Drosophila melanogaster: one gene and its partners. The protein of the gene in region 3 interacts with the protein of the main gene of each other region in a pairwise test. Each region holds a gene or a part of one and is shown on either strand. Other genes may lie near its edges.

Region 1 (3,483 bases), on a different chromosome or scaffold from region 3:
GCTGTTTGCCGTGCATATACTCGTATGTATTTCTCACCCATTAATTATGGGTAGTTTAGACTATTGCAATATTGTAGCAGTTTTGCTGAAGAGGAGCAAATATCAAAGCAAATATCAACATACATCATGATACATTCGTTGGTTTCCCAGCATTGTTAAAATTCCCACTTATTGTCTAGCAATTCCACACACGACACAGTTAAATCTAGATAAATTATTAAATTATAGTATGCAGTACATAATATTAAATAAATCAATTGGAAAATGTGCAAGTATTGCAGGTGCTGAATTATTATATTAATTAATTGAGTGACGAGGTATTTATATGTCGCTTTTTTTTTTTGGTTCATCAACTTGTTATGCATTCCACATGTACACCTAGCATGCTGAAGAAAGGGAGGCGCGGCATTAGGGGCGGATCAGATAAATTAGGTCCATTCAGATCACATAATATAAGAGAAAAGTTGCTTATTTGCCAATTTTGCAATGTTCTCGCGAGAAATGGCTAATAATAATAAGAGGCGATGCCGGGGAATCGTTTCGATTTCTAACCAAAATTAAATAAAAATCATTAATGACTTTCTTCACTTTTGCAATTTTCACATAGGTGGCGATGGTGGAGGTGCAACTGGATCACGATACGAATGTACCACCGGGCATGCTGATAGCCTTCGCCATCTGCACCACCCTCCTGGTGGCGGTGCACATGCTGGCCCTGATGATCAGCACCTGTATCCTGCCAAATATTGAGACGGTGTGTAATTTGCATAGTATTTCCCTGGTCCACGAATCGCCACACGAGCGTCTCCATTGGTACATTGAAACGGCGTGGGCATTCTCCACGCTGCTGGGACTCATACTCTTTCTACTGGAGATAGCCATCCTGTGCTGGGTGAAATTCTATGACCTAAGTCCGCCGGCGGCTTGGTCAGCGTGTGTGGTCCTCATACCGGTGATGATCATCTTTATGGCCTTCGCCATTCACTTCTATCGCTCCCTGGTGTCGCACAAATATGAGGTGACAGTCTCGGGCATCCGTGAGCTGGAGATGCTCAAGGAGCAGATGGAGCAGGATCATTTGGAGCATCACAATAACATACGAAATAATGGCATGAACTATGGCGCATCCGGGGACATTGTCTAGCATCACTTGGCGTATCCGCACAAGTGGATCGAACGAAAAAGACAGCGGCTCAGGGTAAGCTTCAGATTATTTTTAGTGAAACACACATATTGTAAATTTGTAGTTGATTAAAATTGTGATACGCGGAATTCAGTAGATTTCTACTATATATATATATATATGTGCGAGTGCTGCTGTAGTCCTTTATTTTACTTATGGCAATTGCGGATTAGCACGGATATTGACAATGATAAAAGACCCCAATTAAAGCAATACTTCGGATGAATATTCCTCAAAAAATTAGCTGATATTTGTTACATATTTATATTGCGTGTATTTTAAATTGTATGCCATGCCGGATTTTCTTTTTTTGCAACCATCCTTAGGCAGTCTTCCCTTTTTACGTTTAAGACACAACTTGATTGTCAAATTTAATATTAAGCCAATTGTGTAAGCGAAACCGCGCTGTAATTTATACCATATAATTTATGATTAAAAGAATTTTCTATATATATGGTGTTGGAGTTTTATTTTTAATCGTGATATATAGCTGAACAATAGATGCGGATTAAAAGAATGCAAAATTTTAGAGACAATTTGATATATTTTATATGCAACATAAAACAATTGTAAAATAAAGTATTTGAAAATGTACTGCAATATTTATATACGAATTATATTCATAGGTATTCCAATAGTTTTGGAAAATATAACAGTCTATTTTCGATCTTTACCGATGTAAGCTAAATAGCGCTGTAATTTATATACGACTGATTAAACGATTTTTACTACATACACTTAACCGGAACAAACGATTTTCTATTGAGCCAATGTCTTTGGCCTCCTTAAGTTAGCGTGTCGCTGCTGGAGGAAGCCAAATGGTGGCAAGACATGCTGCTGCTGGCTGGGGGGGTTCGATTAGACAAGTGACACCACCGCACGCACACCGCCGCCTAAAGTCGGACGACACCACATGGCACCGCCGCAATTGGACGGACTTGCTCCCGCGCTCAGTCATCGAAGACATGTCGTCGCGTACGAGCGGATATAGTAGTGGAGTTCGCTCTCAACGTTATCCTGGTGGGCAGTACCAGGGCAAATGGTTGGGCCAGCAGCCTCACGGGTTTGGGGTAAAGCAAACGAGCAGTGGACTTGTCTACGAGGGTCACTGGCAGAAGGGTCAACGGCATGGCATCGGAAGTTTGCGTCGCAAGGAGCTCGATGGCCGCATGGAACGCATCTACGTGGGTCAGTGGCGGGAGAACAAGCGGAGTGGCGAGGGCAAGCAGTTCTATCCGGACGGATCCGTCTACTTTGGTCAGTGGCTAGCGGACCAGCGAAGTGGAGAGGGCATCCTATGGCAGGCGGATGGCGGCATCTATGTGGGCGAGTGGCTTCGGGACAAGATGCACGAAAAGGGTTTACTTTTCACGGGTGAGTGTGATAAAGAAATAAGATATGTTCCTTTGGATGTATTTGTTTCATTTTATTTATTTTTTCGCAACTTTAAAAATGCATAAAGATTATAGATAATAAGTTAATATGTTATCCATAGCAACGGGAAATCGCTACGTGGGTCAATTTGAAGGAGGCTGCAAATCGGGCTCAGGTGTATTTTACCATGCCAGCAATGGACAGCGGATTCAGCACGGTTTTTGGAGCAAGGACATCTGTAGAACGTCACTACTGTCCCTGCCACAAGATAAAAACAATGAATTTATGTCAAAAGCTCTTTTGTAACACTTACACACAATATATATATATATTTAAATACCAAGACATTTTCGATAAGAATAAATACGAACTAAGGAGACTACTATCTAATCAGTGCCGATGCCGTGTGCGTGTGCTAATGGACTCCGTTTCGGGAGCCTGTGCTTCCAAAACCTGGCGCCTCGTTCGCTTGGATGAAAGAGTCGCTGTCTTTGGTGTCTCTACTGGTTGGCGCAGCCTGGCTCTGGTGCTCCGTGTACTTGTAGTTATTGTCGGCGTTTCTACTATTTCCAAGCTATTATCCAATGTTAGGACTTTACAAGCTTTGGATGTGGCCTTGGGTTTTGCCTTCTCCCTACTTTTTGGTTGTGTCTTCTTTGTGGACACCAAAGGTGAATCGTCATCGTCGCTTATCTCGATCGCTTGGCAGGCATTTAGATCCACGTGATCCGAAGGCGGTGTATTCTCTGTTCCGCTGCCACCGCTGCTACTGCAACTGGTAGCACTTGGTGGTCGTAGTTCCAGCTCCTCGTAAATTCTGAATCGAGGTGCCTTTTTGGCCGACTGTTTAACTTTAGACGCCGTATTCTTGACTGCTGAAACCGATCCTATTGCGGTTCGTTTCTTATCTTCGGGTGAGTGATTGA
Region 2 (3,034 bases), on a different chromosome or scaffold from region 3:
TCTTGGTGTCCTTCACCCCGTAATTGAATTCGTATTTGGGATGGTGTTTGGGTTCCTCGTGGTGGCTCCACTGGTGGTGGCTATCGTGCGCAGCGACTGGAGCCCACTGCTGGTGGTGATGATCCTGAACTGTGCCCCATGAATGGGCCTTTGGGACATCCACCCATTGGTGGTGAGCCTGGTGGTGATCCTGCCACTGCTTGGGCGCCTCGTGATGCGTCTGGATGCTGTACCCCACGCCGTGTTCGTGACTATATCCACCATGAGGGATGTAGCTAGCAGCAGCCACTCCCAGAAGTGCGCAGCAGAGGATGCTCAATTGGTGGGCCATTTTCGTTGGTTTCTGATTGACTTGCCTGGCCTAAATCACGATTGGAACTGTTATAATCACCAGACAATGCCCAATGCTTTTATACTTCTGGCCATTCTATGGATCGATTAATTACATTTTAGACTGCGGGCTAAATAGGCTAGAAAAAAGTAAGAGCCCCAAAAATGGGTATAAAAAATGCTTCGAATTTTTGTGCAAATTTTCATTTTTCCCCATTCGTATTCATAGTCTTGGGCGGTCGGTCGATTGGCAAATTAAAACTTGCCAGAAACAACAACATCATCATTAAGCGGGGCGTGAACATCGCTCAAATGCTTGAAAAACGCAAAGCTTTTCGATTTTGTTGCTTAGAAATCAATCAACAAGTGTGGCCCGCTTTCAAATTGCTCAGCAATAGCCGCCTCGCCTCGCCTCGCTGCGTTTCCACGGTTGGACCCTCTTTTTCGCCTACTTCACTCCAAATGACCTTGAGACGGACGGTGCGGTAAGGGGCTGAGAAGGGGAGGGCAGCGTTGGGCGGACCGTCCAATCGGTTGGTGTTTCTGACCAGGGGGTCTGCTGTGGGGCACCCAGAGCTTCCGAATTGGTGTTAACTTACCGATAGTGTTTTTTAATGCATATAATTTACAAGGCTAATAGACTTTAAGCTCGGAAATTTGAAATGCGTGAAAATATAAGCATATTGGTATTTAGCCTACGTTATCTGATGTTAATTATTTTTAAGACGTTTATTTGCATAAATTGTTTCGCTATCTATAGGAATAACATGCATATTAAATAAAAAGAAATCCTGTAGTTCAAGTTTTAAAACTACTAATAACTATATAATAAATATAATGTTGAAGCCAACAGATTTCTAGGAAAAACACATAATTATTTATAGCAAAATAGGTTCGCTTTGGATATTTACATAAGGATTTCAAAGTACAACACTACAAAGTTTATTTATTGGTTAGTTTAACAGCATTTCCTTATTTCTTCAAGCAAAAGCTGCCGCCTTCATCAGTTCACATTCTCAGTCATAATTAATTTTTGTAAATTAAGCAATAAGTTCTTGCCTTAGTTTTTCCCTTCTCTTTGACTGAATACCAAACACATCGAACGATCTAACAAAAACTTTTTGGATCTGATATTATTAATTATTACTAGCAGAATTTAATTGTAACGGATTGGACTTTAAATAAAATGTGCCGATTTTCTATAGAGCTCAATGGCCGAAACAATAATAATAAGTACGAGTTAGTGAGGTAATTATCAAATCAGCTAGCTCGATTGGTGAATGGTGTGGCCAAGAGAATGACCACCCGATGGTTGATTGCCCCAGAGTCTTCGATAGCTATATATAGTCTAGGTGAGCTCCCCAAGAACCAGCAGACATCATCAAAGTTCCGATTGGAAAACAGCGAATAAGTGACCGATATGAAATCCTTTAGCGGAGGTCTGTTCTTTGCCCTTCTGGTGGGAGCCAGTTGGGCAGCTCCCCATGGTGGACACGCCACCAGCTACAGTTCGGTGACCAAGCACGAAGGACCCGTCCACAAGAGCCTGGGCTACGGATACGATCACGATGTGGTCAGCGCTTACGGTGGCATCTACGGACACGGCTATCCGAGTGTCGGCCATTCGGGCTACGGATACGGATACGACAAGCACGAGCCCCATCACTATCCCAAGTACCAATTCGACTACGGCGTCAAGGATGCCCACACCGGAGACCAGAAGAGCCAGTGGGAGACGCGGGATGGCGACAAGGTCAAGGGCAGCTACTCCCTCAAGGAATCGGATGGCACCACCCGAGTGGTGGAGTACACCGCCGATGACCACAATGGCTTCAACGCAGTGGTAAAGAAGCTCGGCCACGCCCACCACCCCCAGGTCTACCACAAGGGCTACGGACACGGCGATATCTACGACGCCGACTACGGCTACGGTCACGATGTGGCGCAATATGGCGGATACGGATACGGACACGGAGGCCACGCCAGTAGCTACGTAAGCGTGAAGCAGCTGCACTAAGCAACCAAAATGCGGACTCACCCGGCGAAAACGATCTGGAATCATCATTAGTTAACAATGCAACGAACTTACCTAACTAAAGCCAACTTTTTACAAGTGTAGTATTGACGATATTTATATTTGTATTGAAATAAATAAGCGTAGCTGTTTATAATCAAGAAGGGACGACATTTACTATTTATACAATTATAAATTATTATAAATTATTTATACCTTTATCTACTAGATAGAAAAGGTTAGTAAATACCTTATGAGACAGAAATATCTTATTAAGGTATGAAAAATATATGGAAATGCATTAAAAAGTGGTGTCCGCCTTGCGAATGAGTCTCTGGGAAGTTTTCCCAAGTCACAAGCACTTGATTTTGATACGGATTAGCAGGATTAACTGGCCAAGTGGAGACACGACAAACTCGCAGAGCAAATCGCCATTAATTTATGTAAAGTCGAAACGTAATGCTGGCAGGTATAAATTTTATAATGCCATTAGACAGCTGCAGCGAAGCGTCGACGACGACTTTTACTTGCCGCTCGGCGGCGCCTGAAACCAAAAGTTGGGGCGCCCAAATCGGGGGAGCATGGGATATATACAACATATGTATATATAAGTTCGTGCAGCATATATGGATATAGATAGCTTGGCGGTATCGCGGCTCAAACGGGTTTCGGAACGAGGAGCTCCCGGAC
Region 3 (5,091 bases):
CATCGTAGATATTTACAGAGCCGCCTTCGATCAACTCCAGACAGTATGTAGAATAGTAGCCGCTCTGTAGAAATCCCTGCACATGATCCCGCTCCAGCTGCTCCAGCACAAACTCTCTAGCTTCGTCAAAGCAGCTGGCCGGAATTGGTTTGCTACACTCGGACTTATCCCTTCCGCAAAGTAGCAGCGATATATGCGCAAGGATGACGATGGGCAGCTCCACTTGCAGGCTGGCGTTCACTATCAGATACTTTTGGTATATGGCAATGGCATCGCTGATGCTGGCCCGCGATAGCTCGGCGTTCAGCACACTATCCGTTCCAGACTTTTGCCTATTGAGCTGCTTGTTGGTCTCCGCATAGATGCGGCTCTTCTCGTCGTCTGTGAGGGGTTTGCGCATTGACAGATCGCACAGCGTCTTCAATTCAGGTACATCTTTGTCATCTTTGTGCGGAGAAGATTGTTCTATTGCCTTGCGAGGAGGTTCCTCTGGTTCCTCCTTCTCTTGCGTCAGAGCCGCCCGCTTAAAGTTCTCAATGTCCAAGTAGAATTTGATCAGCGGCAGGGCCTGTCGGGTGTCCAGATACTGAACAAAGTAGCTCAGGCAGTTCGGATCGTTGACGATGGAAGCGAGATTCATGGAGAGGCGTGAGTTGTAGGTGAAAATGTCTGGGAAGAAAGCAAAAGGTATAGTTATATAGTAAAGCATAAATGCCAATTGCCATATGTGAATGAGTTTCAAGATTACAACAATTACAACTATTATGTAGACACACTTTTAAGGATTTTCGATACGTGGAATCGCTCCTTATAAGCATTAACAGTGTTATCTACGTTTTATCATGGAAAGTCGAGAATAACGCTGCGATTTGCCAATCATTTCAGTTTCAAAGGTGCCAACGTGATGAGCAATTGAACAATGGGCAATGAGGTAATTACCATCGTTGCTGGCGAGACTGATGCCATCGGAGGGGGCTCCTCCACCACCACCACCACCTCCTCCTCCTCCTCCTCCTCCTGTGGTTCCCACGCCGCCCTCCTCCTCCGCTTCTAGGAACACTTCGTCGCAGAAACTGGTTGTGGAGCGCAGCGAGTGTCGTTTGTGAGCGTTGGCTGCATCACCAGCTCCAGCAACGTCGTTGGTGTCCACATCATACGCTGGCATTTGGCCACAAATGGCATCCGTGGCATCTTGGCTGCTGCGACGTCGGCCTAAATAAAAATCAACAAAAAACCAAATATAATTGGTGTCAACAGAAGAGGAAGAGGGGTGAAGAAGAAACGGGGAAGGGGAGTTGGGTGAAAACAGCAGCGAAATTTCTTTAATTTCTTTAACTCACTGGCGTGCCTCTTGATGTAATTTAACATCTTTACATTCTCCGGCTTTCGGTTGATTCGAGAAGTGCTTCTTGTGCTTCAAAATGCCGATTAACTGGAGATTCGATGAAATAATTTAATGCAGTGCGACGGTAAATATTATGAAAATGGTTTTAGGCGATAGGGTTTTTTTTGCGACCTAATCTTTTTAATTTTTTTTCGCTGGCTGGCCACTCTGTTTGCACAGTTTTGGGTTGAGTCTTTGCTAAAAGGATTCGAAACCAATCTTAACGAACAGCGAATTCAAGCGGCGAAAAGCGAACTCACAGAAACACAGCGAATATTAACGGCGAAAAGCGAATTCATAATACTGGGCGAATTTTCGCTGCGGAAAGAAAATTCATAATACCGGTTGGCTAATAGCGGCGAAAACATAATTCACAATATTCACAAAGAAAATGTAGAAATTGCGCTTATTTCGATGTTTAAATATTGTAATACTTAAATATTTGGAGTTCAGTTTTAGTTTAAAATTAATAAAGTTATGAAATTTTTTGGGACAACGCGGTCTTCAATTTTTGCAAATTTACCCATTCAGATGGCGTATTGGTGGATATAAACATTAAGCAGATAGGTGGCGCCTTAGCAAACGAAAATTCAGTGTTGTGAAGCGCAAAAATACGAAATATCGCAGTGGCATCAATGTAATCGATAGTGCCATCAATGTATTTCCCTATGTGCGATTTTTTCCTTGGCAGCCGTGGTCACTCTGCTGTTTATCGCCGAATTGAACGCACGTAGCGGACCGGACGGATATCGCATCTTCCGATCGGAAAAATCGTACAGTGCAGCCAATTCGCCGTCTACAGAAATCTATTAGCGCGCGTGTGTTGGTGCCAGTGCGGTGGCAAATTAAAACAAAAAACATCTGCGAATTTGAATACGCAAATCTCATGCTCACTAAGAGCGCAAAAGTCATAGAGTGCAGAATAGTGAATTGAAGAACTTTTGGACGCGCTAAGAGTCGCTCTCCATCCCCATCTCTCTCTCTCTCTCTTGTGTGTGCAGTGCTAGTGTGTGCGAGTGTGAGTGAGACGGGCAAACAATTTGCCGCTAAATACAAAAAGCAGCTGAGACCAGCTGACGCATGTGTATGTTCGAAATACAATAAAGTTAACAGGCTATAAATAAATTGCAAATGTTTATGTAGCCGTCAAGCAGCAGCAGTAGCAGCGCAACAACAAAAACCACGTGGCACAGACATTTTGGCCACGATAGTAAGCAAATACACAAACACGATTAAACATGTCCGCCGTACCGGTTGCCATCAAAACGGAGGAAGTTATTCTAGAGCACGCCGAATACAACAGCGCCGAGGAATTGGATGAGGAATTGCAGTAAGTTTGCATCTTAATCGAAATCTCTTTTGTTTCAAATAAAAACAAGGCGAGTCAACAGCTTGGCTTGCATTTTTATCACGCAAATTATTGATTATTTTTACTACTTTGCTAGTGCTCTCCCTTTTCTCCGTCACCGTATCACTCGCGCTCTCTCTAATTCTCTCGTTTGCTTTTTGCCGCCGTTTTGCCGACAAAACAAATACGGCACAAAAACACCACCACCATTAAGACCCATCTCTCACTCACACACATGCAAGCTAGCGTGTGTCGCATTCCATTCCATTTCCATGCCGTTTTCTTGTTGCTGGAATAAATGTGCTCCTTTTTTGTCTCGTCGTTCGTGTCTGTGCCCCCTTCTCAACATCCTCTCTTTTTTTCCGCCGCTCTCGTCCAGCGTTTGTGTTGTTGCTGTTTTTACGCTCTGCCTTTCGGCGTCCATATTGTAAAACGGCTGTTTTGTCAATTTGTCAGCAGTGTCGGCAGACGGGCAACAGTGATGGCACAAACATGAGTCAAGGGTACAGCTGTTAGAAACGATGATTTTTTATTTGCTTTAACTTTAGAAGTGTAGAGTTCAGTAGAAGCCACAATATTAAAAATACATTTTTGGTTTTTCTATACTATTATGGAGGTGTATTTTTAGTTTCTCAAATATTTGTACCTTTGATACATATGTATGATACATAAATGACTTTAAGCGATCTTTTGAAATAATTTTGTATGTTTTTATTTTCACCATTTTGCTTTTTCCTAAAATATTTGGTTTAATTTGTTACAGCTGCTTTTGCTATTTTCTGTGTTCGTCGATCGCGTTTCGCTCTCAGCTCCTCTCTCTCTTCTCAGGCTCTTTCCTATTCTGCTGCTCTTGCTCTAGCTCATATGTTCAAATTAATGGAGGTAGAAAACAGCTGCGCACCCGCACTCCCTCTCTCTTTCTCGCCTCCTCGCTTATCGTGCGTTGCCTAATCAACATTTCTATTTCTTCTTTCGCGTTCATAGTTGAAATGAAATCAGCTGTACCGGTAAATTCGTATCATCAGATGATTTTGCTTCGACTTTATTTACATGCTTCTCCCTTTTCCTTTGCTCTCTTTGCTTATCTCTTTTTACACCGAAAGCAAAATGGATCTAATTTAAAGATCAGTTTGCTGAGTTTAATTAACAATTTGAAAGAAATGACACAATACGAGTTCATTTTCTTACCATTATCCACATCGATTTAGATATGTATCTCTAATATTCCTTTCAGATAAATGGGGCTCCATTTTTCTCTCTGTGTACTCAAGGAATGAGTGTACCGAGAAATGTCGAAAATAAGTTGACTAAGAAATAAATGTATTATTTTAATTTCTTATTTTCCCTCTTACTTTTCTTTCGATCGTTTTCCTTTCGCAAATATGTCACAGGTTTTCAGAGCGAAAGTTTCTTTTTCCCTTGCCGGCTTATCAGAATCATATGGTAGCGCTTTTCGCTTTTCACACGTCATAAGCGGCGCCTTTTCTTATCGCACGAGCATATGTTTTTGCACAACGCCGAAGAGAATCGGAAATATATACATATGTATGCGATTGCACACTTATACTAATCCGTTTCAGCTGGCTTTTCAAGACTTTTATTTCAGCTTGCGTATATACCGGGTAAATAAATATTTTAAACTCGGCAAAATGCCACATGTTTTTGCTGCTGCATTAAAACCAGTACTTCCTCTGTGTTTTATGGATCTATTTAGTATTTCGAAATAGTTGGTAGGAAAATACAAGCATTTCGTAAACGCACGTATAGGGACTATTCAAATACAAATAAAACCAATTGTTATGCATACATTAAGTTAAACCAGTAGACGTAATTAAAATACGATTATATTTTATGAAAATCTAAAAAGCTGTTCACAAAACTTCAAGGCTACATTTCTATTTTAAACCAATCAATTGCAGAATAGATAGATAACCGTTAAAACTTCGAAGGTGGCACGGTTATTTTTGCCACCAGTGTGGACGGTATAACAACTGCGTTTTAGCAGCTGCTGTCTGTTTGTTGTTGGTGCTAAAATAAAAGAGCGTGCCTTGGCTAAAAGTCTCCACCTCTATCTTTCTCTCTCTCTCCCTCTCTCAATTCCATCCGTTGCACATTTGCGAATACTACGAAAGCATGTGTTGTGGCTGCTATTGTTGTTGGCACGGTTCTGTTTGTGTGGCGTCATTTCCGTTTTTACCCCACTCGACTGGAAAAGAGGAGCAGAGAGTGCGAGAGTGAAACAGAGCGTCCTCAACTCTTTCTTTTTCCGTCTCGCTCTCACTGCAGTTTTATAAGAGCCGCTCCCCAGTTGATCGAAGTACATAAGCAGCGGGAGAGAAAGAGAGCCCCATTTGAGTTG

What was found.
Region 1: the proteins of crp (region 3) and CG14490 interact in a two-hybrid assay, tested with the Drosophila melanogaster proteins (one large-scale study listed by BioGRID).
Region 2: the proteins of crp (region 3) and Cpr76Bb interact in a two-hybrid assay, tested with the Drosophila melanogaster proteins (one large-scale study listed by BioGRID).

The regions. Positions count from the first base shown.
Region 1 is NT_033778.4:17,858,651-17,862,133, forward strand, and holds CG14490 (uncharacterized protein), read left to right. Parts: upstream 1-2,109; 5' UTR 2,110-2,148; coding exon 2,149-2,557; intron 2,558-2,622; exon of another isoform or gene 2,623-2,678; coding exon 2,679-2,863; 3' UTR 2,864-2,941; downstream 2,942-3,483. Other genes in the region: orai, read left to right, coding at 608-1,144; thr (three rows), read right to left, coding at 2,948-3,483.
Region 2 is NT_037436.4:19,517,945-19,520,978, forward strand, and holds Cpr76Bb (cuticular protein 76Bb), read left to right. Parts: upstream 1-1,704; 5' UTR 1,705-1,750; coding exon 1,751-2,347; 3' UTR 2,348-2,475; downstream 2,476-3,034. Other genes in the region: Cpr76Ba (cuticular protein 76Ba), read right to left, coding at 1-331.
Region 3 is NT_033779.5:16,284,721-16,289,811, reverse strand, and holds the start of crp (cropped), read left to right. Parts: upstream 1-2,081; 5' UTR 2,082-2,622; coding exon 2,623-2,714; intron 2,715-5,091. Other genes in the region: pkaap, read right to left, coding at 1-669, 940-1,212, 1,341-1,368.